Canis lupus familiaris: one gene and its partners. The protein of the gene in region 3 interacts with the protein of the main gene of each other region in a biochemical or structural test. Links are inferred from orthologs where the notes say so. Each region holds a gene or a part of one and is shown on either strand. Other genes may lie near its edges. The genes, in order: MXD1, SMARCA4, SIN3A, KLF16, ZBTB16, MECP2 and SMARCA2.

What was found.
Region 1: the proteins of SIN3A (region 3) and MXD1 form a complex in vitro, tested with the Homo sapiens proteins (4 studies listed by BioGRID, with this or other methods). The link is inferred for Canis lupus familiaris from reciprocal best matches to the Homo sapiens genes SIN3A and MXD1.
Region 2: the proteins of SIN3A (region 3) and SMARCA4 form a complex in vitro, tested with the Homo sapiens proteins (2 studies listed by BioGRID). The link is inferred for Canis lupus familiaris from reciprocal best matches to the Homo sapiens genes SIN3A and SMARCA4.
Region 4: the proteins of SIN3A (region 3) and KLF16 form a complex in vitro, tested with the Homo sapiens proteins (2 studies listed by BioGRID). The link is inferred for Canis lupus familiaris from reciprocal best matches to the Homo sapiens genes SIN3A and KLF16.
Region 5: the proteins of SIN3A (region 3) and ZBTB16 form a complex in vitro, tested with the Homo sapiens proteins (3 studies listed by BioGRID). The link is inferred for Canis lupus familiaris from reciprocal best matches to the Homo sapiens genes SIN3A and ZBTB16.
Region 6: the proteins of SIN3A (region 3) and MECP2 form a complex in vitro, tested with the Homo sapiens proteins (2 studies listed by BioGRID). The link is inferred for Canis lupus familiaris from reciprocal best matches to the Homo sapiens genes SIN3A and MECP2.
Region 7: the proteins of SIN3A (region 3) and SMARCA2 form a complex in vitro, tested with the Homo sapiens proteins (2 studies listed by BioGRID). The link is inferred for Canis lupus familiaris from reciprocal best matches to the Homo sapiens genes SIN3A and SMARCA2.

What each region holds. Positions count from the first base shown.
Region 1 is NC_049231.1:69,850,593-69,854,562, reverse strand, and holds the start of MXD1 (max dimerization protein 1), read right to left. Parts: upstream 2,801-3,970; 5' UTR 2,716-2,800; coding exon 2,643-2,715; intron 1,976-2,642; coding exon 1,876-1,975; intron 1-1,875. UniProt on the Homo sapiens protein: Component of a transcriptional repressor complex together with MAX. In complex with MAX binds to the core DNA sequence 5'-CAC[GA]TG-3'. Antagonizes MYC transcriptional activity by competing with MYC for MAX binding.
Region 2 is NC_049241.1:50,641,208-50,644,707, forward strand, and holds part of SMARCA4 (transcription activator BRG1), read right to left. Parts: intron 1,525-3,500; coding exon 1,398-1,524; intron 874-1,397; coding exon 700-873; intron 1-699. UniProt on the Homo sapiens protein: ATPase involved in transcriptional activation and repression of select genes by chromatin remodeling (alteration of DNA-nucleosome topology).
Region 3 is NC_049251.1:38,697,407-38,700,906, reverse strand, and holds part of SIN3A (paired amphipathic helix protein Sin3a), read left to right. Parts: coding exon 1-4; intron 5-1,376; coding exon 1,377-1,560; intron 1,561-3,451; coding exon 3,452-3,500. UniProt on the Homo sapiens protein: Acts as a transcriptional repressor. Corepressor for REST. Interacts with MXI1 to repress MYC responsive genes and antagonize MYC oncogenic activities. Also interacts with MXD1-MAX heterodimers to repress transcription by tethering SIN3A to DNA.
Region 4 is NC_049241.1:57,569,840-57,573,940, reverse strand, and holds the start of KLF16 (Krueppel-like factor 16), read right to left. Parts: upstream 2,801-4,101; 5' UTR 2,721-2,800; coding exon 2,252-2,720; intron 1-2,251. UniProt on the Homo sapiens protein: Transcription factor that binds GC and GT boxes and displaces Sp1 and Sp3 from these sequences. Modulates dopaminergic transmission in the brain.
Region 5 is NC_049226.1:19,302,364-19,306,641, reverse strand, and holds the start of ZBTB16 (zinc finger and BTB domain-containing protein 16), read left to right. Parts: upstream 1-1,478; 5' UTR 1,479-1,628; intron 1,629-2,560; exon of another isoform or gene 2,561-2,839; intron 2,840-4,278. UniProt on the Homo sapiens protein: Acts as a transcriptional repressor. Transcriptional repression may be mediated through recruitment of histone deacetylases to target promoters. May play a role in myeloid maturation and in the development and/or maintenance of other differentiated tissues.
Region 6 is NC_049260.1:123,060,762-123,064,929, forward strand, and holds the start of MECP2 (methyl-CpG-binding protein 2), read right to left. Parts: upstream 2,801-4,168; 5' UTR 2,548-2,800; coding exon 2,450-2,547; intron 861-2,449; coding exon 1-860. UniProt on the Homo sapiens protein: Chromosomal protein that binds to methylated DNA. It can bind specifically to a single methyl-CpG pair. It is not influenced by sequences flanking the methyl-CpGs.
Region 7 is NC_049222.1:91,389,160-91,393,282, forward strand, and holds the start of SMARCA2 (probable global transcription activator SNF2L2), read left to right. Parts: upstream 1-1,323; 5' UTR 1,324-1,484; intron 1,485-2,213; exon of another isoform or gene 2,214-2,349; intron 2,350-3,237; exon of another isoform or gene 3,238-3,370; intron 3,371-3,955; exon of another isoform or gene 3,956-3,976; intron 3,977-4,123. UniProt on the Homo sapiens protein: ATPase involved in transcriptional activation and repression of select genes by chromatin remodeling (alteration of DNA-nucleosome topology).

The DNA of each region.
Region 1 (3,970 bases), on a different chromosome or scaffold from region 3:
GGTAAGGGTCATTCCCAACGGGGCATGAAGGAAGTGACCACAGTAAAACAAAACAACCTGCTCTTGCTTCACGTTTGCTTGGTGCCATCTCCAGGCTTAATCACGGCCTCTCGGAGATCCGGCACCACGCAGGTACTACGCTAATTCATTATTAGTCAGGAATATGGGAAACTGTGACAGCCTCTGGTCTGTAACCGTGGAAAGCACACCAAGCCCATTAACAGAAGAGAGCTCTTCCCAAACTCAGAAGTCACAGCTATTTTCTCCGTAATAACGTTGGATATTAAAGAGAATCTGCTTCGTGGCTTGCGATTCTCAGCTATCATTATTTTTCTTTCCTAATCACCTTCGGGGACCAGCCTACTTCTCTCTCTCAACACCCTTTGCTCTTCCTCTCCCCACCACTGAACCTCCCCCAACTTTCCTGCGAAACTTAGGAAAAAATAAAGTGCTGAGGATTAAGCCTTGACGAGTAAGGTGGACAATTCCTCCTAAACCATGAACGGACAGGAATAAAAGCAACAGTTGGGCTACCTTCTCAGGAAAAAATACGCCAACAAGCTTCAAAATTCTTCCAAAAATTAAAAAAAAAAAAAAAAAAAAGACTAACAAGATGCAACACAGCTAAATTGTTTTATAGCACTGCAGGATACAAGTCAGGCCCTAATACCCACACACGGATCTATTCGCTACCACTTTCAGGTAACGCGGAAGATGGGAGGGAAAGAGAAAACTGTGGGGTGGTTAATTACCAGGTTCATCCCTCACGTGCCTTCCTTCCTCGGCAAGAGCCCAGCACATGGGTGCTGCTCACATCCTGTGGTTCTAGCAACACTAAGGACAATGGGATGAATCAAGGACAACAGCAGCAGCAGCAAGAACAAGTGGGTTTAGGTTTAAGTGGGACCTCCTGGCTTTTAGTGGTGTGTGTGACGTCACAGGGGGTGACCAAATACAGTTACTTGCAGGGAGTTATACATGACGGCGGGAGAGGAATAAGGATTGTAAGCCAGTGATGAAAATGTGAGGGGCTTTAATTTACTGGAATGAAAGGTATAAGTAAAGAGACCTAACAGGTTTCCTAGCTAACTTATATTTTAAGGGCAAAGAGGGGGGAAAAAAGGGGGTAGGTTTATTGAGTTCTCATTTATAGAGTACTCATAGGTACTCAGGGCTTTAATGTGATTTCACGGACCCTTAACCACCTGCTTTCCAGTGAGATTCACAGATTTTAAGAACTATAAGCCAAACGTAAAAGGATCGTGGCATATTAATATTTTAATATTAATCCTCCATCACCAAAAGGGAGGTTTCAACCTCAATCATTCCTCTTTGCCATTATAAGTAGATGTAACAGAGGAGATAAACCATTGCATTTAATTTACATGTCGAATATGAAGTCCTACCCCTAAGGCTAAATCAGATACTTTAACGTGTCTGTACAATCTTCACTATGAAAAGTAAAAGAAACGGATAACGTCCAGCCTCTTTGATTATTTAAAAAAAAAAAAAAAAAAAAAAAAAAAGCTTGCCCTGAATCTGCAACTTCTGTAGGCAAAATATTGTCACGGTTACCAATCTCACTGGAAGTTTCCACAGATTTTTGTTGTTGTTGTCGTTGTTCCAAAAGGGAAGAAAAGCAAAAATTAAGTTTAAAAAGTTCATAAAGAAGCGCAAAGCTTTTCCATTTCTCCTTTCTGTCCCCTCAACCCAAACAGAAGGGCTGCTTCCTCCAGTGGCTTAGGACCATGTGCGCCTTCCTGAATCCTGATCGCCACTTAACGCATTTTCCTGGGTCATAATCACCACAGGCCACTTCCATTCTGCAGTTTGTATCGTGATCCGAGAGAGAAAGAGAAAGATTTACGAAATTACCTGCTACTGCTGTTATTCTTCTTGGATTTGTTCCTCCGTTTTAAGGCATCTCTGTCCTTGTTACTGTAGGGTAACATGGAGGCATAACCATGTTCAGCTTCTAGAAAACCGGAGGACCCAGTTAATGAATGAGCCTGGAACCTTCAACACTCCCCCCCCCCCCAGCCCCCTGCACAGGAGCTCCTTGTAGACCTTATTTTTCATCACGAGCATGTGATGAAAAGAAATTTCTGTGTCAAGAAATAAGCGATGCAAGGTGGAATTCTTAGAACAAGGATTTCTTTTTTTTTTTTAAACTCCTCCCTTAAATTGTGTGAGCACCCTCAGTCCGGAGCAGGTGCAAGGAGCGAGCGAGCTGCTCATTGTTGAGGCTCAGCTCGCGGAGCCCGGGCTGCCCGCTGGGGACGTCCCGCAGGTTGGTGCGCCCTGCGCGGGGCGGCATCCCGGGCACCCCGAGCACCCCGGGCACCCCGCGCACCCCGAGCACCCCGGGCACCCCGCGCACCCCCGGCACCCCGAGCACCCCGTGCACCTAGCGCACCCCGTGCACCCCGAGCACCCCGTGCACCCCGAGCACCCCGTGCACCCCGAGCACCCCGGGCACCCCGCGCACCCCCGCCCCCCCGGGCGGAGCGGCCTCCCCTCGCACCGCGCGTGGGGCAGCCGGAGGGTTGGAGGCGCTCGCGGTCGCGCCCTCCGCCCCCCCAGCGGCCGTGCCCCGCAGAGCCCCCGGCCCCGGCCCGGCGCGGACCCCCGGCCCCGTGCACCTCTCTCCCGCCGCTCCAGGTAGTCGGCCGCCTCCAGCAGCATCTGGATGTTCATCCGAACCGCCGCCGCCATTCTGCACCGGGGGCCGCGGCCGCGGGACCAACCCCCACCGCTCGGGCTCGCCGCCGCCGCCGGGCCCCGCGGAGCAGGGCGGGGAGAGCCTGTCGGGCGACCGCGCTCGCCGGGAGGGAGGGGCCCGGGGCGCTGGGCGCCGCCGACACCGTGACAGCAGCCGGGGAAGAGCCGCCGCCGCCACCGCCGCCGAGTGTTTATCTCCGACTCACCATCCCCCCGCCCCCAGGCCCTGCTCTTGACAGGCCCGCTCCGGCCGCGCTCCCCATTGGGCGCCCGGAAGAACGCCCCGCCCCCGGCCTTGCCCGATTGGGGAGACGCGCCGCGGCCCCGCCCCCTGGGGTCCGCTCCTCTCTCTGGTTGGTCACGCTTGACAAGGCCCGGGCTCCGCCCCCTCCTCCCAATTGGCGGCCGGGTTCGCGACTCCGCCTCGTGCTCCTTGCCCGCTGCCCATTGGCCCGACGCCGACGGCCCCGCTCTGCCTTGCCGCCATTGGCCGGAGCGGGGGCAGCGAGCCGCCTTGCCGGCCTCCCATTGGCGGAGCCGCCGAGACCGCCCAGCCCCGGTGACGTCACCTCGCCGGCCCGGCGGACCCGGGAGGCGGTGAGCGGCCGAGCTCCCGAGCTCCCGAGCTCCCCGGGCCGCGCCGGCTGCGGGGCTGCCCCGGGCGCGGCGCTGACTCACCGGCCGCCGCGGACCTGGGCGCCGCCGCGCATCCCCCGCAGCGAGGGCGCCGGCGGCCTGGAGGGGCCGGGCCCCCGCGGGCGCCACGTGGCTCGCGCCCCCGCCCCCGCCCCCGCCCCGGGCGCCCTGCACCTGCGGGATGACCCGCGTCCTATCACGACGTTCTTTGACCTCAGTCTCGTTCAGGGTCTTTCCTTCCCTTTTAATTGTCGATGAAAACGTTTAAGAAAAAAAAAAAAAAAAAAAAAAAAAAGCTTTCTCTGCTCAAGACTATGGATGGGGTTTGTGGGGGGGGGGGGCGGTGCCAATAGAAATATATGGAACTAAAAAAATTAAGGATTTAAGCCCTATCAAGATTTTTGAGAGGAGAGCCGGCTGGAGGCCCAAGTTACCCTGTTAATATACTGACATCTGCATTTTAAAAAGGAAGAATAAATGTCTTGGTCAGCTTGGACAGATTCCATACAGCTTAAAAAAAAAAGTTTACTGTTGCCAATACATGAAAATAAGAGCTTTACTGTTTCACGTGCATTATCACTAGTCCTCCGTGCAACCCCATTAGGTAGGTTAA
Region 2 (3,500 bases), on a different chromosome or scaffold from region 3:
ATTTTTAAACTCTACCAGTACTAGATACTGACTAGAGGAGAGCTTTGGGAAATAGAAATGAGCAAACAAACCAAATCATCCTGGATCCTACTCCAGTAGATATTTGGTCTTCCTGACTGACCTTAGAATTGGTAAGTCAGATCACACTAATGGCTCCCACCTTACTCAAAGCAAAGGCTGCAACTGTCCCCTCAGTCCAGATGCTCTGCCTGTCACCTCTCTGTCCTTCCCTCATCCCATTCACTCACTGGCTCCCTCCACTCTAGCCACAATAGGATCCCTGCTGGTCATGGAACACACAGCACATTCCAGCCACCAGGGCCTTTGCAGCTTCCCCTCAATCTGCAAAGCTCATTGCCCTTGGGTCTTTGTGGCTCCCTCCCTCAGGTCTCTGCTCAGATGCTGCCTTCTCAGAGAACTCCCCCAACCATGCTGTGTAAACAGCCCCTCCATCACTCCCCATCCCTGCTTTACATCTCCTTACACCTTGTTACCTCCCAACATGGCATATGTGATTATGGCCTGTCCTCCCACTGCCATTTGGTTACGTCCACTAACATATTCTCTCAGTGCCTAGAATAACTGTTATGATGAATAGAAGATAGCATACTTAGATGCAAACCAAACAAGACACAGCAGCGTGCAAGCTCTGGCAACCCAGGCACACGGGCTGGGGCTCATGGTTGAGCGGGGACGCACCTGGTGCTTCTGCCGGCGCTTGCGCTCCTGCTCAATCTTCTGCTGCTTCTCCAGCTTCTCGGTGATGCGGGCCTCACGCAAGGACTGCCGCTTGCTGCGCTTGTAGGCCTTGGCATTGAGGGCCGTCTCGAGGGCCGTGTCCCTCCTCATGCACACCACCACTTCCTGTCGTAGCTTCACGAAGGAAGAAAAGATGTGCACAGCTTTGTCAGTCACACATAATCACATAGCTCAAGCTACACAGAATGCTGCTCCTTCCAGAAGGATCTGTTCTAAATGCTGTCTGATGAGTGCTCATGGACAGCGCAAGCATGGGTCAGATGACTGTTTCTGGAAACCCAGCAGATGGTTCTCTCCTACCTTCAGGTCTCCAACTTTGCCTCCAGTCAACTACACACAAAATATTTCTAGTGGGTCATTCAAAGGTACAGAACCCTCAAAAAAAGACCCACTAAAGTCTCCTGTTTCAAACTGGCAACTAGTACCTTAGGGAAGACCCTGAGTTACTCATCCTGGGAACAGCTGATATCCCACCACCATGTAGGATATGGACGGGAGAAGGGGACAGCCAGCCAACAAGGATGTGAGGGCACTGCTGCCTTTAATGGTCAAGGCACATTTAACTGCCTGGAAAGCAGCTCTTGGAACCCAAGCATCCATGTTGGCAGAAAAGGTCTTCTCCTCCAGCCTATGCCCACCTGCCTCTGGAAGTTCAGCAGCCTGAGGGCCTTGAGCTCAATGGTCGCTTTGGTTCGCAAATCCCCGGCCAGGGACCCGGGAAGGTTTTCAAGTTCCTGAATTCGGTGGGCGATTCGAGCCTGCAGCCTGGGTTGCAAAGACAGAAGAAAGGAAAGGTGATGAGAGCTCGACTATTCACGGGAGCCCACCTGTTCCCTTTAAAGGTGGAGCCTCGGGGATCCCTGGGTGGCTCAGTGGTTTAGTGCCTGCCTTTGGCCCAGGGCGCGATCCTGGAGTCCCGGGATCGAGTCCCACGTCAGGCTCCTGGCATGGAGCCTGCTTCTCCCTCCTCCTGTGTCTCTGCCTCTCTCTCTCTCTATGTCTATCATAAATAATAAGTAAATAAATATTTTATAAATGAATGAATGAATGAATGAATGAATGAATGAATAAATAAATAAATAAAGTAAAAAAAAAATAAAGGTGGAGCCTCAGGAGAATTCATCCCTCAAGGAAAGCAGATCCTGGTCATGAGAAGGGGAAATGCCTCAGAAAAGGAAGCCAGCCACAACACAGAATACAAAAAGTGGAGGGCAGGCACAGCAAACCCAAACCTGATAGGGTACAGCTGCCTTAGGACCCGTCAGCAGCCAGAGCTGGCTAGGGAGTCAGGTGGACCAGCCTCTTCACTCCAGCCCTGGGACTCTACTCAGCCTGAGGAGACCCCACAGAGCAGCCCTAAAGGCTTGGCCTAAAGTTCAAACGAGATAATCCCCCTTCTTGATGTTTCATGTGTATTTATTAAATACCTACTATGTGCCAGGGACTGATCCAGATGTTGAGCCTTAGCACTAAACAAGACTAACAGGGCTATTTGTTATTCTTATTAAGCTCACAGACCTATCAACACGAAAGGCCAGAAAGGAGTTAAAAAAAATTAAATATCCACATTAAGGCAGCCCGGGTAGCTCAACGGTTTGGTGCCACCTTCAGCCCAGGGTGTGATCCTGGAGGCCACAGATCAAGTCCCACGTTGGGCTCCCTGCATGGAGCCTGCTTGTCTCTCTGCCTGTGTCTCTGCCTCTCTCTCTCTCTCTGTGTCTCTCATGAATAAATAAAGTCTTAAAAAAAAAAAAAAAAATATATATATATCTATATATATATATATATATATATATATATATATATATATATATATATATATCTACATTAATTGTAAAGAGTACCGAGTACTCTGAGAGGGGGGCTGGAAGTAAGGGGGGTGGGCAGGGATTCTATGACCAGGTGACCTCAACAACTGGTCCTAAATTAGCCAAGGAGTCATGCACAGCCTGTGCAAAACCCAGGGGGCAGAAATGAGACTAACTTGCTCAATAGAAAAAGAGGAACAGGGCAAGTGGTGTAGGCAAGGACAGAGCCTTGGGCAGGGGCTAAACAAAAAGGTGCATACTCGCTGGGCAATGGGACACCATAGGCAGATTTGAACCCAGGGAACAGATGCAATGGAAGTTAATTATAAAAAGAGATTTCAAACTGCCATGGGGGAAACAGACTGCACAAGAGATGGGGAGAGCAAGGAGGCCAGCTAGGAAGTGTAGACCAGGTGGCAGGGTCCACAGTGTGGAGAAGGCCACTGGTTTCTGGGATGTGGGAGGGGACCTGAGATAAGGACATGGGGGATGAGGGAGGGCGAGAAACAGTCAAGGGGTGGCAGTGTCTGGCCCAATGAGCTGCTGTTGGGTACATGGAGTAGAGACGGTAGGGAAATATGGGGGACAGGAAGACATCTGGAAAGGCCATGTTAAAGCTGTCCAAATGGAGCTGGAGCTCCAGAGCACATCCCAGCTGGGCGAGGCACTTTGGAGACTGCCATTAGACAAAGATTTACTGATACACCTGGGGATTGGAGTGAACAAGGCACAGCCCCTCATGCATGGAGGCCAGCCCTGAACAAGTTATCAACGCAATGAAGAAACGGGGGAGGGCAAGGTGCTCAGGGGGCGAACCTGAGGTGCCTCAGGCATATGGGCTAGAGTGATACTGGTGCACCGTGTGCCCAGTTACCTTCCCCAGCACCTGGCACCCAGAAGCCCTTGGCAAAGCAGCCAGCAACTAGTGATTTC
Region 3 (3,500 bases):
AAAGGTAACTGAATATGTTCTTCGTGCTTTAGTGTGCTTCGTGACAGGTTCGGTGTCCCCTTAAATACGGCCTTCATTTTCAACCTGGTTATTCCATGAGGCCTCTATTTCACCTCAATGCTGGTGGTTGGAAATTAGGTGCAGCATGGGATAGTGGAGCTTCTTGAAGGGTTTCTGTGTAACCAGCAATAGAGAACAAACCTTGAAAGTCCACAGTGGAATGCTCTGTGTGTTTAAGGGAATATTTTAAAATACAGAAAAGAACAGAGCAGAATACAGCCACCCACATTCCTGCCACTCAGTACTAACCATTGTTAACATCTTTGTTTTTTAATAAGAAAAATCTCTTTGTCTTTGTAAAATTGGTGGTTTATTTAAAAAGACTTACTAGCTTGGCATTTTTACCAAGAACATCTTACCTCCTGACAAGCCTTCGGCCTGAGGTGTACAGGGGCTGTTGTACCCACATAAGACCAGGCATCAAGGAGGAGGCCAGACCTAGGGTGAGCCCCAGGCTCCTTTAAGTCCATGGCTCTTTGGACCACATGGAATCCCAGCTAACAGCTGGGTCCTCTTTCAGTTCCACCTGAGACGGGTGGTGCAAACTCTTGTCTGCTGCACAGCTCACAGATGCCCAGATTTTATTGTTCCTCCCCAGACTTTGCTCAAGAGCTGGCACAGGCTTTTTCTCTTCTTGCCATGCCAGCAGCATTTAACTTTGGCTTTGAGACGTAGGATATTCTTCAGTTCTAGTGCTGGTTTTGATTTTACTTTCTTCTACACTTCTAGAGTGTTAAGATCTGTTGTTACCATCAGAAATTCCCAAATTGTGTGCAAAGGAGCATTACTGTGCAAGTTCTTTGCTCTTGGACTTCTGCATTTATATTAGCATAGTGAACATTCTTAGAAGTCCTGCAGCAAAGAGATGTGCTTGTTTTAGCCGGCCAAGAAAGTAAACCCCTTTTTAAGGGTATTGGGTGGAATGATGTTGAGAAATAACTATTCGAGGTAAGATTTCTGACTTTGGGACAAATCACTTCCCCTAAATAAGTCCTGGAGGAGTTATTTCCTCATGTAACAGAGTTCAAGCCTGGATTGAATAACAATATAACAATTTCAGTAACAGTATCCCAAGTTGCCAATAATTTTGACAGACCTGTTATATCTTTTGACTTTTGAAAGAAAGTAAGTCTGACACATTTCCCACTTGGAAACCTTGGAGAGTAGGCGCTGTCATCCCTATTTTCCCAATAAGGAAACAGAGTCTAGTATGGCAGAGCCAGGATTCAAATCCAAAGAGTTTAACTCCCTCCCTTAGAACTCCCACATCCGAATTCCCATGTCTTGTCCTTTCCACACCCCCCACCCCTCACCAGATTGAAGATGAAAGAGGAAGAATGGCGAGAAGCTCAGAGAGGATTTAACAAGGTGTGGAGAGAGCAAAATGAGAAATACTACTTGAAGTCTTTGGACCACCAGGGCATCAACTTTAAACAGAACGACACCAAGGTCCTGAGGTCAAAGAGCTTACTCAACGAGATTGAGAGCATCTATGATGAGGTGAGTGGGAAGTTTCTCTATCTGTGAGAGGACCCCAGTCTTTATGTTCAGCCTGGCTTTGATTCCTGGAAATTATCTTTGTTATATGAAAGAAGACCCTCCGAGACAAGGTGATTCTTGCTTCAAAACTGTCACAGACTTCTATTCCTGATTCTACATTTTAAATCTAAGCCTCACCTTTATTCCTAAACTGCTTTACTAGTTTCCCAGTTTACTATCCTGGCTTTGTCTGTGCCTGCTGCCTCCCTCCTCCACTTGTCTTCCCGTCTGTTTCCCTCAAAATGATACCTTTTCTCATTCACGTAGCTCCTCTCAACTTCCCACAACCAAAACACTTATCATTAATCCCCAGACACTTTCTAATCGTTGTTTATTCAGGATACTTACCAGGAGTGTATATAGTACTGGGAGCCAGGGTACAGAGATGATTAAGAAATTAATCCTGCTTTCTTGGACAAGCTCACAGTCATGGGGTGGGGATAGACACATAAATATAGTATGATTGAGAATTCCTAAAAGTTATGTGATCTTGAGTTTAAAAAAAATGTTTTTAAAAAAAAATAAAAAATAAAAAAATAAAAAAAATAAAAAAAATGTTTTTGGACAGCCCCGGTGGCGCAGCGGTTTAGCGCCGCCTGCAGCCTAGGGCGTGATCCTGGAGACCCGAGATCCAGTCCCATGTCAGGTTCCCTGCATGGAGCCTGCTTCTCCCTCTGCCTGTGTCTCTGCCTGCCTCTCTCTCTCTCTGTCTCTATGAATAAATAAATAAATAATCTTTAAAAATAAAATAAAATAATGTTTTTTATCATGAAAATGTCAAACATATGTGAAAAGGGAGAGAATAGTAAAATGAGCTCTTCTATAAGCTTAAATAAGCATCTCTATTTTGCCAATTGTTTTAAATCTGTCACCTCCCACACCCCTACCCCAGATTCTTCTTCTTCTTCTTCTTTTTTTTTTTTTTTTAAGATTTTATTTATTTATTAATGAGAGACACAGAGAGAGGCAGAGACATTGGTAGAGGGAGAAGTAGGCTCCCCATAGAGAGCCTGATGCGGGACTCGATCCCAGGACCCCAGGATTGCAACCTGAGCCAAAGGCCAGATGCTCAACCACTGAGCTACCCCAGTGGCCCTCACCCAAGATTCTAGACCTCCAGTCGTAGGCCTCTTGTTGTATCCTCCATATCCATAAATACTAATACAGAATTTTATTTTATTTTTTTATTTTTAAAGGTTTTATTTATTTATTCATGAGAAACAGAAAGAGAGAGGCAGAGACACAGAGAGAGAGAGAAGCAGGCTCCATGCAGGGAGCCCGACACGGGACCTGATCCCGGGTCTCCAGGATCATGCCCTGAGCCAAAGGCAGGCAGGCGCTAAACTGCTGAGCCACCCATGCCTCCCCACTAATACAGAATTTTATTTTATTTTTTATTTTATTTTTTTTAAACCTCACACTTCTTTTTTTTTTTTTTTTTTTTTTTTTATGATAGTCACAGAGAGAGAGAGGCAGAGACACAGGCAGAGGGAGAAGCAGGCTCCATGCAGGGAGCCCGATGTGGGACTCGATCCCGGGTCTCCAAGATCACACCCCAGGCCGCAGGCGGCGCCAAACCGCTGCGCCACCGGGGCTGCCCTAATACAGAATTTTAAAAGATAGTCCCAATTTTGTCCAATTGTCCCCAGTAAGTCTTCACAATCTAGAAGAACCACTATTATGGTGTTAAACCACACCTCCCGCATTATCTAGATCTGTTTCTGCAAGTTTCAGATTAGAAAACAGTTGCCACTATGGTTGATAATGGCATGTACTGCTGGTGCCGTCTCGTAGGTCTGTTTGTTGTTGCTGGAGATATGTCATATAATACTTTGCGTCTCTCTCCTATTAGAGGCAAGAGCAGGCTACAGAAGACAATGCTGGTGTACCTATTGGCCCAC
Region 4 (4,101 bases), on a different chromosome or scaffold from region 3:
TGGCCAGGCCCTGCTCCACGCCTCGGTCTGCTCCTCTGTAGAACGGGGCGAGGCTGGACAGGTTCCCTTCACAAAGAGGGGTCCTCAGGCAAGAAGGGAAGGCAGGGCGCTCTCCCCAGGGCCCTCTGCGGGTGACCCAGCTGACCTCAGGTCACCGTTCCTCATCAATCTGTCGCCAGGCCCGTCCCTGGCAGTGGGCTGCACCACGCTGGCCTTGGGACGTGGCGCCCAGCCGGGCAGAAGGGCACCGTCCCCTCTACCAGGACCAAAAACGCCGAAAAGGGCCTTTAGGCCTCATAGCCCTGGGGGTGGCGGAGACGCTGAGCGCACGGTCTCAAGAACACGGGTGCCTGGAACCCTCGGGAAAGAGCGCCCAGGGCGCCCACGTCAGGACTTCCAACCTCCCTGGCAGCAGCCGGCCGGGAGCTGCGCCCTCTGGGTTCCCCCGCCACAGCACAAAGGGGGCTCACACACAGGACCCCAGAGCCACGGCTCCCCGGGGACTAGGGACCCAGCAGGGATGGCGCCCCCCCGGACACCCCCGGCCCGGCTGAAGAACCTCAATTCCTCATTTAAAACATGAGCGGCAACGTGGAGAGAGGCGCCCCCACTGCTGGACCCACAAGGGTCCGCAGGATTCAGGGACACCCCGCAGAAACGCCTCCCGGGATTCGAGCTGGGAGGTGGCCTGGCCGCCCCCTTCTGCCCACCAGAAACTTGGACAGGACCCAGAAGAGGGAAAAACAAATCATGACACCGGGGGTGGGGTGGGGGGTGGTGGTGGTGGGGGTCGGGGGGGTGGCTCACCATCCGACAACTAGCGAGGACTGGTGACAGGACAGATGCGGGACGACAGGAGGGTTGCGGTCCCTCTCCGGCCAGCCTCCCACCGCGGCACCCCTGCACTCAGACGGGCCAGCGGGGCCCTGCTCAGACCCCAGTGCCCCCCCTCCCAGGAAGGAATATCTCCCCCGAGCCCCAGAGAGAGCCCCCCCCCATCTCAGGGACTCCAGACATCCTTCCCACAGACACACACACCTCACTGCGGCTCAGGGAAGACGGGGGCTCCAGGAGGACACGGTGATGCCACCCCACGTCGGCCCTGGCTGTGCTGCCCTCTCGTGTGTCCACAAGTGGGGCAGAGCATCTAGGCCCCGTGGACAGGGATGAGGGTAGCCCAGGAGACAGGCGCGCAGCCCGAGGTTGCCTGCCTGGCATGGGAGGCCGTGCAAGGGGCCTGGGGCTGCCCAGGCTGCGTCCCCACCACACCCTAGGGCCAGCCTGCTTTCTTGAACCCTCTATACAGCTGGAGCATCCACAGCACCAGGGCTGCTCACGACCCCCGCAGCCACCCTCGGAAGGCAGAGCCCACACACCCTTTACACAGATGAAAACACTGAGGCCCGCAGTTGGTCACGGGCCTGGAAGCGGCAGAGCTGGAACCCGAGTGCATCCTCCCAGCCCGTGCCCAGACGCCCACCCCTGCTCCCCTGCCCTTCCCGGAGGGCAGGACCCCCCTCAATCCTCGCGCCCTGGCCAGGCACCGAGGCCCACCTTCCCCGAGCCCCCACCCAAACCCTCAGGGTGCACGATGGGGCACCCGCAGGAGAACAAGGAGGATGACAAGGGTCGCTGAATCCTCCCTGCCACCTACCGCGAGGACCTGACTCCCTGGAGGCCGCCCCCCCCCCCGCCCCGGCGCGCACTCCCAGCCCCGCCCCCCGCCTTATTAAAAACAAGAATCGCGGGGAGCGCCCCCAGCCCGGCCCCCGCTCCAGGCGCTCTGCTGCCTGCCGGGGCGGATCCTCGCTGCCACCCCGGAGGCGGCCTCGCGGCTCCTCCCCCGCTCCACGGACGGGGAAACCGAGGCAGGGGCCGGGAGACGGCGCAACCCGCGAGCTGCGCGCCCCCGCCGCGGTGTCCCCTCCGCAGACACGAACGCGCCAGGACAGAAGAGAGAAACGGGGACGCGGGGGAGGGGACGGCCCGGCGCCCCGGGGCCGCCCACGGACCCCGCCGCGCCGCGCGCCCCGCGGCCCCACCGTCCCGCCCGCCAACCGCGCGCCGCCCGACCGCGTGGCCGCCACGCCCCCTGCGCGCGCCCCACCCACCGAGGCCCCGCCCTCCCGGCGGCGCGGCGGCGGCCCGGGCGCGCCCCCCTCCCCGCCCCCCACGCGCCACGCAGTTTGGGGGTCCCGGAGGGGGCGGGGCGCGGGGGGCCGCGCGCGCGGGCCGGGGCGCCGGGGCTCACCTGTGTGCGTCCGCAGGTGCGACTTGAGGTGCGAGGACTTGTAGTACGCCTTGGCGCAGCCCGGGAAGGGGCAGCGGTGGCTCTTGGCGGCGGCGGGCGCGGCGCCGGGGGCGCGGCCAGAGGACGGGGACGAGGCGGCCGAGGACGAGGAGGCGGGCGAGGCGCCCCCCGGGGCGGCGCCGGGCCCGCTGCGCAGGTCGGCCAGGATGCTGGCGGCCAGCAGGTGGGGCGCGGCGGCGGCGGCGGCGGCGGCGGCGGCGGGGCCCGGGCCGGAGGCGGCGGGGGGCGGCGGCGGCGGGCCCGGGGGCCCGGGCGGGGCGGCCTCGCGGCGCGGCGCGCGCACCTCCAAGCCGGCGGCGGGGCCCGCGCCCTCGGGGCCCGGCCGCCCGCGGTGCACCACGGCGCCCGAGGAGATGGCCATGAGCACGTCGGCAGCGAAGTAATCCACGCACGCCACGGCCGCCGACATGCCGGGCAAGGGCGCGCGGCGCGGGCGAGCGGGCAGAGAGGAGGCGGCGGGAGCGGTGCCCGTCCGGCCGGCGGCGGCTGCTCGAGTGCGGGAGGCGGAGGAGGAGGAGGAGGAGGAGGAGGCCGGCGCGCGCCGCCGCCGCCGCCGCCCGCGCTCGGCCCGCCCCGCCCCGCCTGACGCGCCCTGACGCACCGGAGCCCGCGGGGGCGGCCGCGGCCCGCCCCGCCCGGAGGACGCCCCCTCGGGGCGCACGGCCACGCCCCCCGCCCGGCGCGCCCTCCGCCGCCCTGCCCGCCGCGCGCGGCCGCCGGGGGCGGGATCTGGGCCGCAGGAGCCGCCCCCGTCGCGCCCACTCCGCCCGGAGCGCGTCCCCGCCTGCTTCCCGGAGCGCGCCCTCCCCACGCGGGGCCCCCAGCCCGAGACCCCGCCTTTGGGGCCTGCGGCGCGCGCCCCCGTGGGCTCCTCGGAGCACCCCCTCCCCACGCCGGCAAGCTCCGCCCGTGCCCGGTGCGCCCCTCCCTCCCGGGCGCGCCCCGCCCCTCCCGGCACGCCCCTCCCGCCCTCCCGGCGCGGCCCTCCCTTCTCGGCGCCGCCCCGCCCCCTCGCGGGCGCGCCCACCCCACGCCAGGGCGCGCGGCCGGCGGGAGCCCGCCCCTTCCCCGGACGCTTCCACCCTGGCCCGGGGCGCGCCCCCGCTCTGGATGGGGGAGGGCTCCGCGCCCCACGTGGCCGGGTGGGGGTGCGGAAGCGGCCAGCCCCGCCCCCCGGCCACGTGCGCGACCCTTCCCCCTCTCCTCTCCCCGGCCCCGGGCCCTGCCTGGCCGCGCGCCCCTTGCCCCCTCGCCCCCTCGCCCCCGTCTGCGGGAGCCCCGTGCGCCTCCCCGGAGCCCGCGGCTGGGCCCGAGAGGACTGGGGCGCCCCGCCCAGCCGGCGCCGGAGAACCTGCGCTCGTTCCTCTTCCTGCGCCCCCTTGGGGGTCATTTGTGCGCACCCCCCGAGGAGTAGGGGGGGCCGGTGTCGGCCGGAGGCGGAGCGGGGCCCGGGGGTCGGGGCGAGGAGCGGGTGGGGTCGGGGCGCCTCGGCGAGGCGGAGCCTTCCGGCCCTGCCCAGGACCCGGCGCTGGGGACATCGCGCCCCGCCGCCTGGACTCGGGAGGCCCTGGGGACGTCCGGGCCGGGTGGTTCAGTGGCGAGGGCGCCGACGGCCGGGGCGGCCAAGCCCGCCGTGGGGGGCGGGGGTCACGCGGAAGTGGGACGACAGAGTGGCCCTCTCCGCGGCGACCGCGGCCCCGCCCCTTCCTAGGCCGCCGGTGGGGGCCGGGCGGTGGCGGGCGGCCTCCCGGGAGGGGAGCGGGAGCGGAGCTGCCTCTGCGTGCCTGCGG
Region 5 (4,278 bases), on a different chromosome or scaffold from region 3:
ATAGCTCTGGCTATAAATGGTGCCAGTTTTGGTGGGGGAGCTGCTGCTGCTTTATCTGGGCCCAATAAACCTTATCAAACTGCTGTGCAGCCAGCCTTCAGCGCTAAGTGGAAACGCTTGGAGCCCAATGCTGGCTCTCAGCCCACAGCCTCGCCTGCCTTCCTCCTTTTTGTTACCTTCTCCACCTCTTAAATTCAGGCATTAATCTCTCTTTAACACTTACTAACAAGGGCTGGGCTTTTTAATGGGCAGGGTTTATGAAGCAAGGGGAGATTTTCACATCGAGTGAATATGGCATGGGGGGGGGGGCCCAGGGCCATGGAGGGATTGTTCCTGTTCTCCCATTGTTTCCAAGGCTTCTCTCTTTCTCTGATTTGAGGATTAATAGGAGATTAAGATCAAGGGTTAATTGTGTGCTTCTCCTGCTTCTGCACTTAGGAGGGGCTGGTAGGTGGATGTGGATGGCAGGGCAGCAACCTTCGCACAGGCACCATCTCCGGGCAGAGACTCTACCAAGTTCAAAGATGGTTTCTTCTTTCCCATTGAGGCTCTAGCAGAGTCTTTCTTCTCTTCTTCTATCCCTCTCCTCCTGCTCTCCTGGCCAACCAGTGCTTTCTTAACTTTCTTTAAATGCCTTCCTCTTGAAGATAGCATAGACCTTAGCTAGGTAAACAGTCCATAACCGAGCTGGCTCTCTATTGTTTTTTTTTTTTTTTTAAGATTTTATTTATTTATTCATGAGAGACACACAGAGAGAGGCAGAGACACAGGCAGAGGGAGAAGCAGGCTCCATGCAGGGAGCCCGATGCGGGACTCGATCCCCGGTCTCCAGGATCATGCCCTGGGCTGAAGGCGGCGCTAAACTGCTGAGCTAAACTGCTGAGCCACCCGGGCTGCCCTGGCTCTCTATTGTTAATCAGAATTGATACCCGGGGACCAGACTGTTCCTTCCAGGGATGTGTTAGGTGTTGCTGTGTTCAGGGCTATCAGAGGGTCATTGGCTCCCTCCCTCCACTTTGAAGCGTCCTTCTCTGCCCTCTTCTGTCTTCTGAACAGAAGGCTGAAGCCCTTTCCCCGCTGGGAGACAGGACCATGCTTGCAGGAATGGAGCTGCCTGTCCCTGGGACTATTCCCCCTTTGCCTGTTCTTGTGATCCTGAGCACTTTGCACTCTGGCCTTCCGGGGCCCAGAAGCAGATTTTTGCCTCTAGTTGGTGTCTGCCACCTTCCATGACCCTACAGTTCTTGGGGCCTGACTCTAGATCTGGGGCAGTACCGGAGACAAACACCGTGATTATATGTGAGTCCTGAGCAAATCTTTGACTCACCAGTGTGTCAGGGACAGAATGTGGGGATTCAGGTCTCCCTGAGTGAAGCCCCTGCGAGGCTAAGACCGCATGACCTCCAGGGCTGACTGTCCGGAGACCCAGGGAGGGCGCTCTCCACCACCAGGCTCACCCCAACGATCCCAGACGTTAGCCAGCCACCAAGGCTGATGTTCAAGAGAGAGCTTCCACCTCCTGCCTGCGCCCTACCTCCGCTAAGCTCCAGGGAAAGGGGGTTAGAAGGGGTCTCTCCGCTGCCCACCGCCCGAGGAAGGGTAGTTTCCTCTGGCTTCTCTACCCTGAGGTTAGTGATCTCAACTCCCCCCCCTCCCCTTGGGGTGGAGAGGCCCGCCGAGAGGAAGAGGCTCTTTTGGGGGCTCTGGAGCTTTTTCCAGCTTTCACTCGCCCCCTGAAGGCTTTGCGCTGAGCAGGACGCGGTTCTCGGGATCCGTCTCCAACCAGGTTCCCGGGGTGGGGTGGGGTGGGGTGGGGTGGGGTTAGGGGTGGGAGGGCAAGGAAGGGAGCAGAGCCCAGGGGATGCTCAAGACTCCGGGGAGAGAAAAGTTGCTCTCGGCCTCCCGGGATCCCGGCAGCTAGCACGGGGGAGGGGTCTCCCTTGGGCGGCTGATCCCCGTGGCCCTCCGGCACCAGCTCCCCAGGGCCTGGGAACCGCGCCCGGAGGCGTCTCGCGATCCGGATGCCCGGCGCCTGGAGGCACAGAAGGCCTGGGCTCGGGCCGCGGAAGGGACCTCCGGCCACCGATGTCGCGGTCCCGGGGAGGCGGCCCCGAGCCCGGAGCAAAGTGAAAGGCGAGATGACACACACGGGATTGGGGCAAACACTGGAGCCGGGGACGAAACTCCGCGCCCGGAGGAAAGGAAAAAAGCCTGGGGTGGAAGGTGGGAGCTGCCCCCCCCCCCCCAAGGGTCCCGAGTCCCGGGCACTGCTCTCCGCGAGCTCCCTCCTCCCTCTCCGCCCGGGCGGTGAGCGGTGAGCGGTGAGCGGTGAGCGGTGAGCGCGGCCGCCGGCGCCCCAGCAGCAGCTAGATGTCAGGCGAAGCCCGGAGCGCGGAGCGCGGGGAGGGGAGGGGAGGGGAAGGGAGGGGAGGGGAGGGTGGGGCGGGGAGCGCGCGCGGGCTCGGCCAGTCCGGGGGGGTGGGGTGGGGTGGGCGGGCTGAGGCCGGGGACGGCGCGGGAGGGGGGAGGGAAGGGGGGCCGCTGTGGGCAGCGCGCCGGGCTCGGCCGCCAGCACTAAAGATGGAGAGGCGCCGGGGCCTCGCAGGGGAGGGGGCTCGGCGTTGACGTGGGACGCGGCGGAGGCGCCGCAGCCGGTGGTGATTTGCTAACCTCGCAGCAGAGAGGAGTTGAGGGCGATGAGAGCGGGTACTGCGAACTGCCGGGCGCTGCCGCCGCTGCCGCCGTGAGACGAGAGCAACAGTTCCCAGCAACAGCCGTCCCCGACGCGGCACACGCCCCCGAGCGCGCACACCCACCCGCGGCGCCCGGCTCGGCGGCGGTGAGTGAGGGCCGGCGGGGGCGCACCGCTCGCCGGGGGCGCGCGCCGGGGCGCCCCGGGGCCGGCGAGGTCGGGGGGCGCGCTCCCTCCGGCCGCTCGGCCGCGGGCTGTGCGCCTCGCTCGGCTCGTTCCCTTCCTGCTGCGGCCGCCGCGGGCTGGGGGTCGGCTGCGGGGGGGCCCGGCTGTCAGCTTGGGCGCAGCTGCCTCCCCAGGGCGGGAGGTGGGGGCCGAGCGGCCCGCGGGCGCGGAGGGCGCGGGCGGAGGGTCGGAGAGCCGGAGGCTTTGTACCCGCGGGGCGGCGGGGCGGCGGGAGCCGGAGCCGGAGCCGGAGCCCGAGCCCGAGCCGGAGCCCGAGCCCGAGCCGGAGCCGGAGCCGGCGGGCGCTCCCCGGTACGCGGCCCGTGCGCGGGCGCGCAGGGTTGTGGTCTGTTTGTGTTTATTTGCCGGCCGGCGGCGAGGCTAGAATCCGGGGCTCCGAGGAGCGGACCTGGGGGCGGAGGGGAGCGGGGCTCCGATCCACTTGGGCTTGCTTTCTCTTTGAAAAACGTGGTGGGGTCTGTTTTCCTCCGGACGGGGCTTGACCCCCACCCGTCTCCGGGGCGGGGGAGGGGCGGCCGTGGCGGGGCTCCGGAGGGTCTTCGGGGCTCTCGGCGGGGCCGGCCGTGGCGCGGGCGCTGGCGGTGCGCTCCGGGCGGCGCTCGGGGGTGCCCGGGCTCTGCACCTGATGCGTCGGGACGCGTCCCCCAGGCCGGGCGCCCGCAGCTCCCCGCGCGGCCCCCCGAAGGCTCCCGCACGCGCTCGAGGTGCGCTCGGCGGCGCCCCCGGACCCCTGGCGCGCACGGACGCGCCCGCAGCGGTGCCCTCGCGCTCCCCGGGGCGCTCGCCCAGTGCCGCGCCGGGCAGCCTGCCCGCGGCCGCCGGGGGTCACGGCCCTGGGCCGGCGAGGGAGGGCCGGCGGCTCCCTGCTCGCCTTTCCTTCCCCGAGTCGCTGTCGGGCTTTTGTGCTTCCCCCGGCGCGGGGCGGGTCCGCCTCCTCGCGCCCGCTCGCGCCCAGCGTCCAGCCCGCCCGGACTCTGCCTCGCGCCCGGCTCCCTTCGCTTCTCCTCTCGCCCAACGCGGCTCCTTTTCTTCCTGCGGTCTGGCTCCCCGGGAAAAGTTGCTTCCCCAAGTTTGCCGAACTCGCTTCCAAGTCTCCGTGGGGGCGGCTGGGACTGGGGTGCGCGCGCGCGAGGTCGATCCCCAGAGCCGGAGCGGGTCGGCGCCGGCGTCCCCCCGCCCGCGGGGCCGGGCGCTGCAGCCGAGGGGGGTGTCTGGGTGAGCCGAGGGTGTCCCGCGGGACCCAGGGCGCCCGCACCGCGGAGGGACTTCGGGGGGCCCGGCTTCCATTCCTTCTGTGGCCCCTCCTCGTTCCCCGCAGCCCCTCGGGCTGACGGCAAGCG
Region 6 (4,168 bases), on a different chromosome or scaffold from region 3:
AGACGCCGCTGCTCAAGTCCTGGGGCTCAGGGGGGCTGGCGGGGTCCTCGGAGCTCTGGGGCTCAGGTGGGGGAGGGGGCGGGGGCGGAAGCAGCGGCGCGGGTGCCTTCGGGGGCTCTGAGTGGTGGTGATGGTGGTGGTGCTCCTTCTTGGGGGGTGAGGAGGCGCTGCTGCTGCGCCCCTTCGGGCTGCTCTCCTTGCTTTTCCGTCCGGGGCTCTTGCAGGTCTTCAGTCCCTTTCCACTCTTCTCGCCGAGGGTGGACACCAGCAGGGGCTTCACCACCTCCTTCACCTCAATGCTGACCGTCTCCCGAGTCTTGCGCTTCTTGATGGGGAGCACAGTCTCCTGCACGGACCGGATGGAAGACTCCTTCACGGCTTTCTTTTTGGCCTCTGCGGCGGCAGCTGCCACCACACTGCCTGGCTTTCGGCCCCGCTTCTTGGGAATGGCCTGGGGGTCAGCCTCGGCTTTTCGCTTCCGGCCTGGGCGTTTGATAACCATGACCTGGGCTGACGTGGTGGCCCCGCCCCCTTCAGCCTTGCTCCCGGGCGAAGCTTGAAAAGGCATCTTGACGAGCAGCTTCCCGGGACTTTTCTCCAGGACCCTTTTCACCTGCACACCCTCTGATGTTGCTGCCTTGGGTCTCGCAGTGCCGCTCCCTTTGGGGCGTCCCCGACCTCTGCCAGTTCCTGGAGCTTTGGGAGATTTGGGCTTCTTAGGTGGTTTCTGCTCTCGCCGGGAGGGGCTCCCTCTCCCAGTTACCGTGAAGTCAAAATCATTAGGGTCCAGGGAGGTGTCGCCTACCTTTTCGAAGTACGCAATCAACTCCACTTTAGAGCGAAAGGCTTTTCCCTGGGGACTGTGGGAACAAATGGAGAGACACAAAGAACGATTAGAAGCTTCCCCGCTAATGTACAAAGATGGGGCAGGAAGAATGTGCTGAATTCTGTGACAGGACGTTCTGCAATTGACCTGCCTGATGATACTATTCAATGAGAGTCACATTAGAGAAAAGCCAAAATGGGCTGAAATTAGAGGGGCATGGTCACACACAAAGCAACTGGGTTGCTGGGCGGCGGAGAGCACCCACAGGGTGTGCTCCAGTGACAAGAACAGCTGGGTGTCAGCTGCTCTGCAGCTATTGCCCCTGAGGATCCGCCTACCACCAAGGCCCCTCCTCTGGCTCCCAAAGGGGCCTGGCCTGGAGACCCGCTTGAGCCAGAAGGCTGAGGGGCAGGCATTCTGCTGGTTGGTGCCTGGGCCCAGTCAGTAAGTAAAGCACTCCTCTCTGTCTGAACCTGGGCATGCTGCTTAGCCTCTCTGGGATCGGTTTCCTCATCTGTCAGTAGGATAATGCTTTTTGTTCACCCTTCTCAGAGTTGTTGCGATCAAATGAGGATGTCTGCAAATAAACTGTTTATCTTTTCTGGATCATCTAAGGGCCAGAACTGAAATGTATTTATTCAGTCCTTCTCTGAAGCTCTGGCTTGGGAATTACACTGTTTCTTTTTTTTTTTTTTTTTTTTTTTTTTTTTTAAATTTTTATTTATTTATGATAGTCACACAGAGAGAGAGAGAGAGGCAGAGACATAGGCAGAGGGAGAAGCAGGCTCCATGCACTGAGAGCCCAACGTGGGATTCGATCCCGGGTCTCCAAGATCGCGCCCTCTGCCAAAGGCAGGCGCCAAACCGCTGCGCCACCCAGGGATCCCTGAATTACACTGTTTCAATAGAAAATGCCCAATGACCAGCTCAAAGCTGGACAAATGCACCAATGACAGTTGGAAAGGCACATGAAGAGACACCAATGTGTCCCCAGAGGCCCTGTCAGAGAGCTCACCTTTCCCAACATGATTCAGAGAGTAGACTGAGCCCTCTGAACTCCTACTTCTTCTGGGTCATGCAGCCAAGTCACGGAATGACTGACAGAAAGAAGAGTTGTTTAACAGGTTCTGAGAAGAGCCCATCAGCTGGATGTTTCCCAGCTGGGAAATGAGAGGAACCCAGAGAGCCCTGCTTGCCTTCCAAGCACAGGCCACTACACATGGCAGGTCCTGTGGCCTCTGGGACCAGCCTGGGCAGGGCCTTGTGTCCTCAATGTTTCTCAGGCGACCTCTCTTTCTTGTGTCCTCACTGTGGCCCTGGGTAGGCCCTACTGCGATGCCATCTCCAGACAAGACCTCAAGGGCTGGTGGGGTAAAGTCACACTCAGGGCGGTGAACTCTGTACACAGTCATTTGAAACATACCTGGAGGGGTCTGCAAGTGGTGTTCATTATTGAAGCCACCCCCAGCCCAAGATGGGTGATATACACACATTTTCCTGATCATCGAGTAAAAAAAGAGCTGCCACTCTAAGGGATCCCCATTAGTTTCTCAGCACCTGGCCCCAGCCTCCTGCCCACCCAGCCTTCCCTGCTTTGTAGAGACAGGAGTTGCCCTTACTTACTTGATCAAATACACATCATACTTCCCAGCGGAGCGGCCAGATTTCCTTTGTTTAAGCTTTCGGGTCCAACCTTCAGGCAGAGTGGGGTCGTCATACATGGGTCCCCGGTCACGAATGATAGAGCGTCGCTGTTTGGGGGAGGCAGAAGCTTCCGGGACAGCTGGGGCTGAGCCTGACCCTTCTGAGGTCTCCGCTTTGCCTGCCTCTGCTGGTTCAGCAGAGTGGTGAGCCGGTGGCTGCAGGGGCTCATGCTTGCCCTCTTTGTCTTCTTTCTTCTCTTTCTTCACCTTTTTAAATTTCAGGGGTTTGTCCTTGAGGCCCTGGAGATCCTGGTCTTCTGACTTTTCTTCCCTGAAGTGTTAAATAAGTATGTAAGTATCACAGGGAACACACCGATTTGTAGAAAAAGTAAGCAATGGCGGGTTTGGGGCACCCCAGCACAGGCAGGGCTCTGAGAGACAGGGCTGCCCCACCGATGCTCACCCAGATCCTGATGCCTTTCTCCTTCAAAGATTTCTTTGGGGGCTTTGGGCTTTACCCTACCTGCACTGTGACCACTCTGAGTCCTTCTGTCCCAAGTCCCACTCCTAACAAGCAGGAGAATGAGCGGCATTTTTCTGGGTAGAAACACTAGGTGGCTTCTCAGTGTACTGCCTCGGAAGAGGCCACTTTACAAGCTGTGCCCAACAGTCTCTAGACTTCATGGCTGACAAGAGGCCCTTGACTACTGGAGAGGGAGCTGCCCACCCAAAATGTGGCCAGGGCTCCTCTTCACGAAAGACCTGGCTTGGGTGTTAGTATAGCTTCTGTATTGTAAGTTTTCTCAAATGTGTGCTTGATAAAACAGTCAGGGAGCACGATGCAACTTACTGATGGTGGCAGAGCCTAGCACTACCCCCTTGGGAGATAAGGCACAGCACAGTGCTGTGGAGAAAACACACAGGTTTGGAGCCAGCCCAACCTGAGCTCAAATTCTGACTTGGCAACTTCTAAACATGGACCTGAGCAAGTGACCTCAACATTCCGTGCCTTAGTTTCCTCATCTTGGTAATAGGCACCAACACCCCAGAGGAAGAAAAGTCACAAAAGCACCATATAAACACTAGCCAACTCGGGCAACCAGAAACTGCTGCCCAGGGTTCTGGAGTGAGGAGAAGGCACCCCAGGTCTGCTAAACTTTTATTATCAGACATTCCTTTACAAGCCATGACTGCCTTACACTCAACCAGTAGAAGGGGAGAGCAAGGACAAAGGCACAGAAGAGCACCCTCCCCACTCCAGGGTGGGCACCTCCTTATGCTTTCACACTGACAGAGCAGCTCCTTCCTGCTATTTTGGCTCCACCTGGTAGGGTCCCTTCCTTGTGTGCACTGGAAAGGCCCTGGACCCTGGAATCAGTCCGCCCGTGGTGTTCTTAAAGCAGGGCTAAGAGGGCAGGAACACCACCCACGCTGGGGAGGCTTGGAACCAGCCATCTGCTGGTCTCTCAGCAATTCAGTCTAGAAGAGAATGAGACTATTCCTGCCCTTGATATCTAAGCCCTAGAGCTGCCCTGTCCCATGTGGCTCGTGTCAGCACTGGTCACTGCCTCATGGCCAGTCTACCCCAAGCAACCCCCTTGTTCACACTGTGGAGACTCCAATGGAGGCACTGTGGTATGTACTGGAAACCAGACTCAAATGATGTCAGTAAGCTGCCAAAGGTGGGTTAGTATCAGGA
Region 7 (4,123 bases), on a different chromosome or scaffold from region 3:
AAATAATAGGCCCCTGATTTAAAATCTCCTAACATTCTTTCACACTTCATAAAACTAAAAATAAAATTCGTCTCAGCAAACACTGACCTATTCCGCCAGCCAAAGAACTGTATTTCAAGGAGAATTGGAACAAGAGGTCTCCAAACTGCCAAGTGCCAGCAGTTTACTGTTTGTAGCCTTAATCGGTCTGCAACGTGAGGTGGGAGAGGACAGACTGTGGGCTGCCCAGGATAAGAGATTTAGTCCCTTTCTTAAATCAAAAGCAGATTCCACGCTTCAGCTGTCCCCTCACCCGCTCGCCCCGCCCCCACGGGGTTGTTTTTCCCTATCTATGTCTTCCTTGTATGCATTTTATTCGAAGATGACAGGTGAGGGAAGCTTCACGTGCCGCATCTGGTCCGCAAAGTAAACAGAGGGGTTAGGGTGGGCTTATTTATTTACAAGGCATTCAGCCTCTCAGCTGTTTTTCCCTCGTTGGCATTTGGAAGCTTGCCGTCCTTTAGAAAAGAGACAGATTTGGCAGGAATGTTCTTTGTGCCCGCCTCCCTTTTTTACGGGGGAGAAAGGGGACAGATTTATAATTACAACCTTGGGTGGGGGGGGGAGGTAACGGGGAGGGGGGTGGCGTAGAAAAAGTTTCAGCCGGCACGACAATGCCTGCTTTTTTTTTTTTTTTTTTTTTCTCTTCTTCTTCTTTTTCTTTCACGGTCCACACTGTGCAGTGCACTAACAGCTCCGGTGCCACTCGGAGCCCTCCCCCGGTCCCCTCCCCTCTTCCCTCTGCAGGCGCGCTCCGGCAGGCGGAGGCACAGTTAAATTCCAGCACCTTCTCCACCTACCCCCAAACTACTACGCGCTATTACTACGGCCGCCCTCCCCACCCCCCACCGCGCGTCGGGGTGGCGGGGCGGGGGTGGGGGGCGCCCGGCGACGTCCCTTCCAAAGCTCCCCCCTCCCGCCCCGAGGTCGACCGCCGGGAGAGGGATGTCGGACGCCCAAGTCCTGCGGGGCTCGCGGCGAGCTCTGCGTCCTGCGCAGTTTCTCCGCTCCAGGCACCAGCACGGCCCGGGAGCCGGCGCCGCGCAGACACACACACACACACACACACACACACACACACACACACGGATCCACGCATACAGTAGAGCCGTCTCGGTGCACATTCTTGCACACCGCCCCCTCCTCCGCCCCCCCCGCCCCGAGCTCCCGGAGTCGCTGAGCGGGCCGAGTGACAGGCGCGTCCCGCCAACCCGCGCCCGGGCGGGCAGGGAGGAGCGGCGCGCGGGGCCAACTGCGGCGCGTCTTCCGGCGCCCGTGGAGGCGGCGAGGGTGGGACGCGGGGCGGAGCCCGACTTTAGGAAGAGGAGGGGATGGCTGTCATCAATGAAGTCATATTCATAATCTAGTCCTCTCTCCCTCTGTTTCTGTACTCTGGGTGACTCAGAGAGGGAAGAGATTCAGCCAGCATACTCCTCGCGAGCAAGGTAAATATAACTTACAACTCCTTTCTCCTCTCCCCCCCCCCCCCCGCCCATCCCTCCCTCCCTCCGGCCTCCGGGGCTGCAGCCGCCGCGCAAACCCCTCCGGCACCGCGCCGCCTTCGCCGGGGAGTCTTCATTATTATCCTAATTATTATTTATTGTGCATGCACGGAGACCAAAACAAACAGGCGGGCCAACCGCCGCCACCGCCACCACCACCACCACAACAAAAAAGCCCGCCTCCTCCCCGCGGGCCTCAGGTGGAATGCTCTAACGACAGCTCCCGGGCGGCCGTGGAAGAAACGGGAAAGTTTCAACCGAACCTTGCTGTTCTAATAATAACAGTAATAATTACTACTTCGGGGAGGCGAGGGGCGGGTGGGGGGGATCCCGACACAGCACAGCCTTGACCCCAGGTAGGCAGTCAGCGATGCGCTCGCTGCCAACTCAAGGTTGCAACACACACACACACACACACACACACACACACACTCCGCAAGGTTGCAATCCCCCCCCCCCCATCCCCTCGAGGCTGGGGTAGGGCGCCGGCTGGAGGACCCGGGAGGAGGATGGAAAGGCGACAGTTCACCCCGAGCCGTCCTCCCCGGAAGAGTTGGAAGGGGCGCGGGAGAGGAGGGCGAGGAGCCCGGGCTGGCGGCGGGGCGCCAACGATCGCGGCTGCCACCCGCCTCCCGGGGACTTGTTTAAAGGGCTCCGGTTGCCGAGACGCGAGCCGATCGCGGCGGGAGGAGCCGAGGCTGGCGCGCCCGGGAGGCGGCAGCCACCGCCGCGGGGCCGGTGCGTGCAGGATCGGAGGTGTCACCTCCACTTTGCGCGTTCCCTCGGGCGGGGAGGAGGACGCTGACCGGTAGGCAGGCCCTTTTTAGGCAGAGGGGTTCCCGGGGCGCTGCGCCCGGGGCTCTGCGGACGTGCCCGCCTCTGGTACCTGGTACCTGGCGGCCGCGCGGGCTCGGCTGTTGAAGTTCGGGGTGTCCGGCCCGGGCCGCGCCGCCGGCGGGGAGGGAGGAGGCCCCAGGGAAGGAGGTCGGAGGTGCCCGCCGGGCTCGGTTGCGCTGCCCTCCCCCTTCCCCGGGTTTGTTTTCGTTGGCTCGGCGTCTTTCCCCCCAGCCTGAGCCGCGGGAACCTCGGGCGTGGGTCGCCCGCGATCGTCGGGGTGCTAGGGGCTCGCCGGGGCCCGGGAGAGCCACGGCGGCCGCGGGCCGGGAGGCCATGATCCGGATAATCCTCTCTGCCTGACTGTCACAAACAGGACCCGCGCGCACCCGGCCAGCAGTGGTGGCGTTCGCCGGAGAAGGGGAAGGGCTGCGAGGGGGTGGGGGGTGGGGGGTGGGGGGAGGAGGAGGGCGGGGGTGGGGAGGGCGGGAGGCGGGGAGACCGGGTGGGAGCCTCCTCCCCACGATGACACGCACCCCTTCCTTCTCGCTCCCTGCTTTCGAGTTTGCTTTATTCCCATCCCAACCTGATTTACCCCTTCCTCTGCTCTCCCCCTCCATCCGGCCGTCTTCCCTCCTCCCGTTTGCGTTGCAAAACAGGGCCATGCCATCTGCAAAGGTGTCGCGATGCACTTCCCCAAATAACCGGTCCGGCGTGCCCGTCCCCAGGCGCCCTCCGGCTGCGGGCGCACCCCGAGCCCGGTGCTCCGGGTGCCCCGCACCAGGCCTCGCAGCCTGGGCGCAGTTGCAGCGCGCGGGGCGGGGCGCAGCAGTGCGGGCTCCCGGGGACACCCGTGCCCTGGCCCCGGCGCCCGGCCGGTTTCCGGTACACGCGGGGAAATCGCCTCCTGCCAGCGTCTTCGCGCGCGCCCCTGCCTCCGCCGCCTGGATTGCATTATTATTTTTATCCGGGTTGCAGCTTTGCGGCGGATCCTGGTGAGCGCAGGGCAGGCCGGCCTGCTGGGGGTGGGGGCTGGGGTGGGGAGGGAGGGAAGTTGGACGTGGATCAGGCAGGAAAAAAAAAAAAAAAAAAAAAGTTTGGCAGGGCGGCTAAGTAGGGAGGGGGTGGGAGGGGGCGGCGAGCTCCCGCGGCTCGCGCCTCCGCGCCCTCGGGGCCGGCCGAGTGTGTCTGCGCGTGAGTGTGCGTGTGTGCTGCGCGCGGGGCCGGGCCGGTGCCCCCGTCGCGGGTAGGGGCGCGGGCGGCCGCGGGGAGCCCGGGGAGCGCCAGGCGAGGTTCGGCGGCGGGGGCGGGCGGGGGTGGCGTGCGCGTGTGCCTGCGAGTGTGAGTGTGAGTGTGCGCGCGCGAGCGGCAGAGAATCAGGAAGTCACAGCGGCGAAGCGCACACAGACATGTTTGATCGCCGTGACATGACGCGCGCGAGGGAGGAAGCGGCGGCGGCGGCGGCGGCGGCGGCGGCGGCGGCGGGGGCCGGGCCGCGGGCTCGGGCGCGGGCCTAGGGCTCGGGCCGGGAGCCCCCTCGGGCCGTGCGGCCGCCGCAGGCTCAGCGAGCCCCGCGCCTCTTTTTGTTCCGCGTCCCCCAGGTAAGGAGCCTGCGCCGGCGCCGCCCGCCGAGCGCGGAGCTTGCCAGCGCTCTCCCTGCCGGCCCCCGCCGGGCTCCCGGCTCGCCTTTCCTGCAAAGTCAGGCCGGCGGGGGCAGCGGGCTCCTCGCCCTGCGATCGATCGCGTGG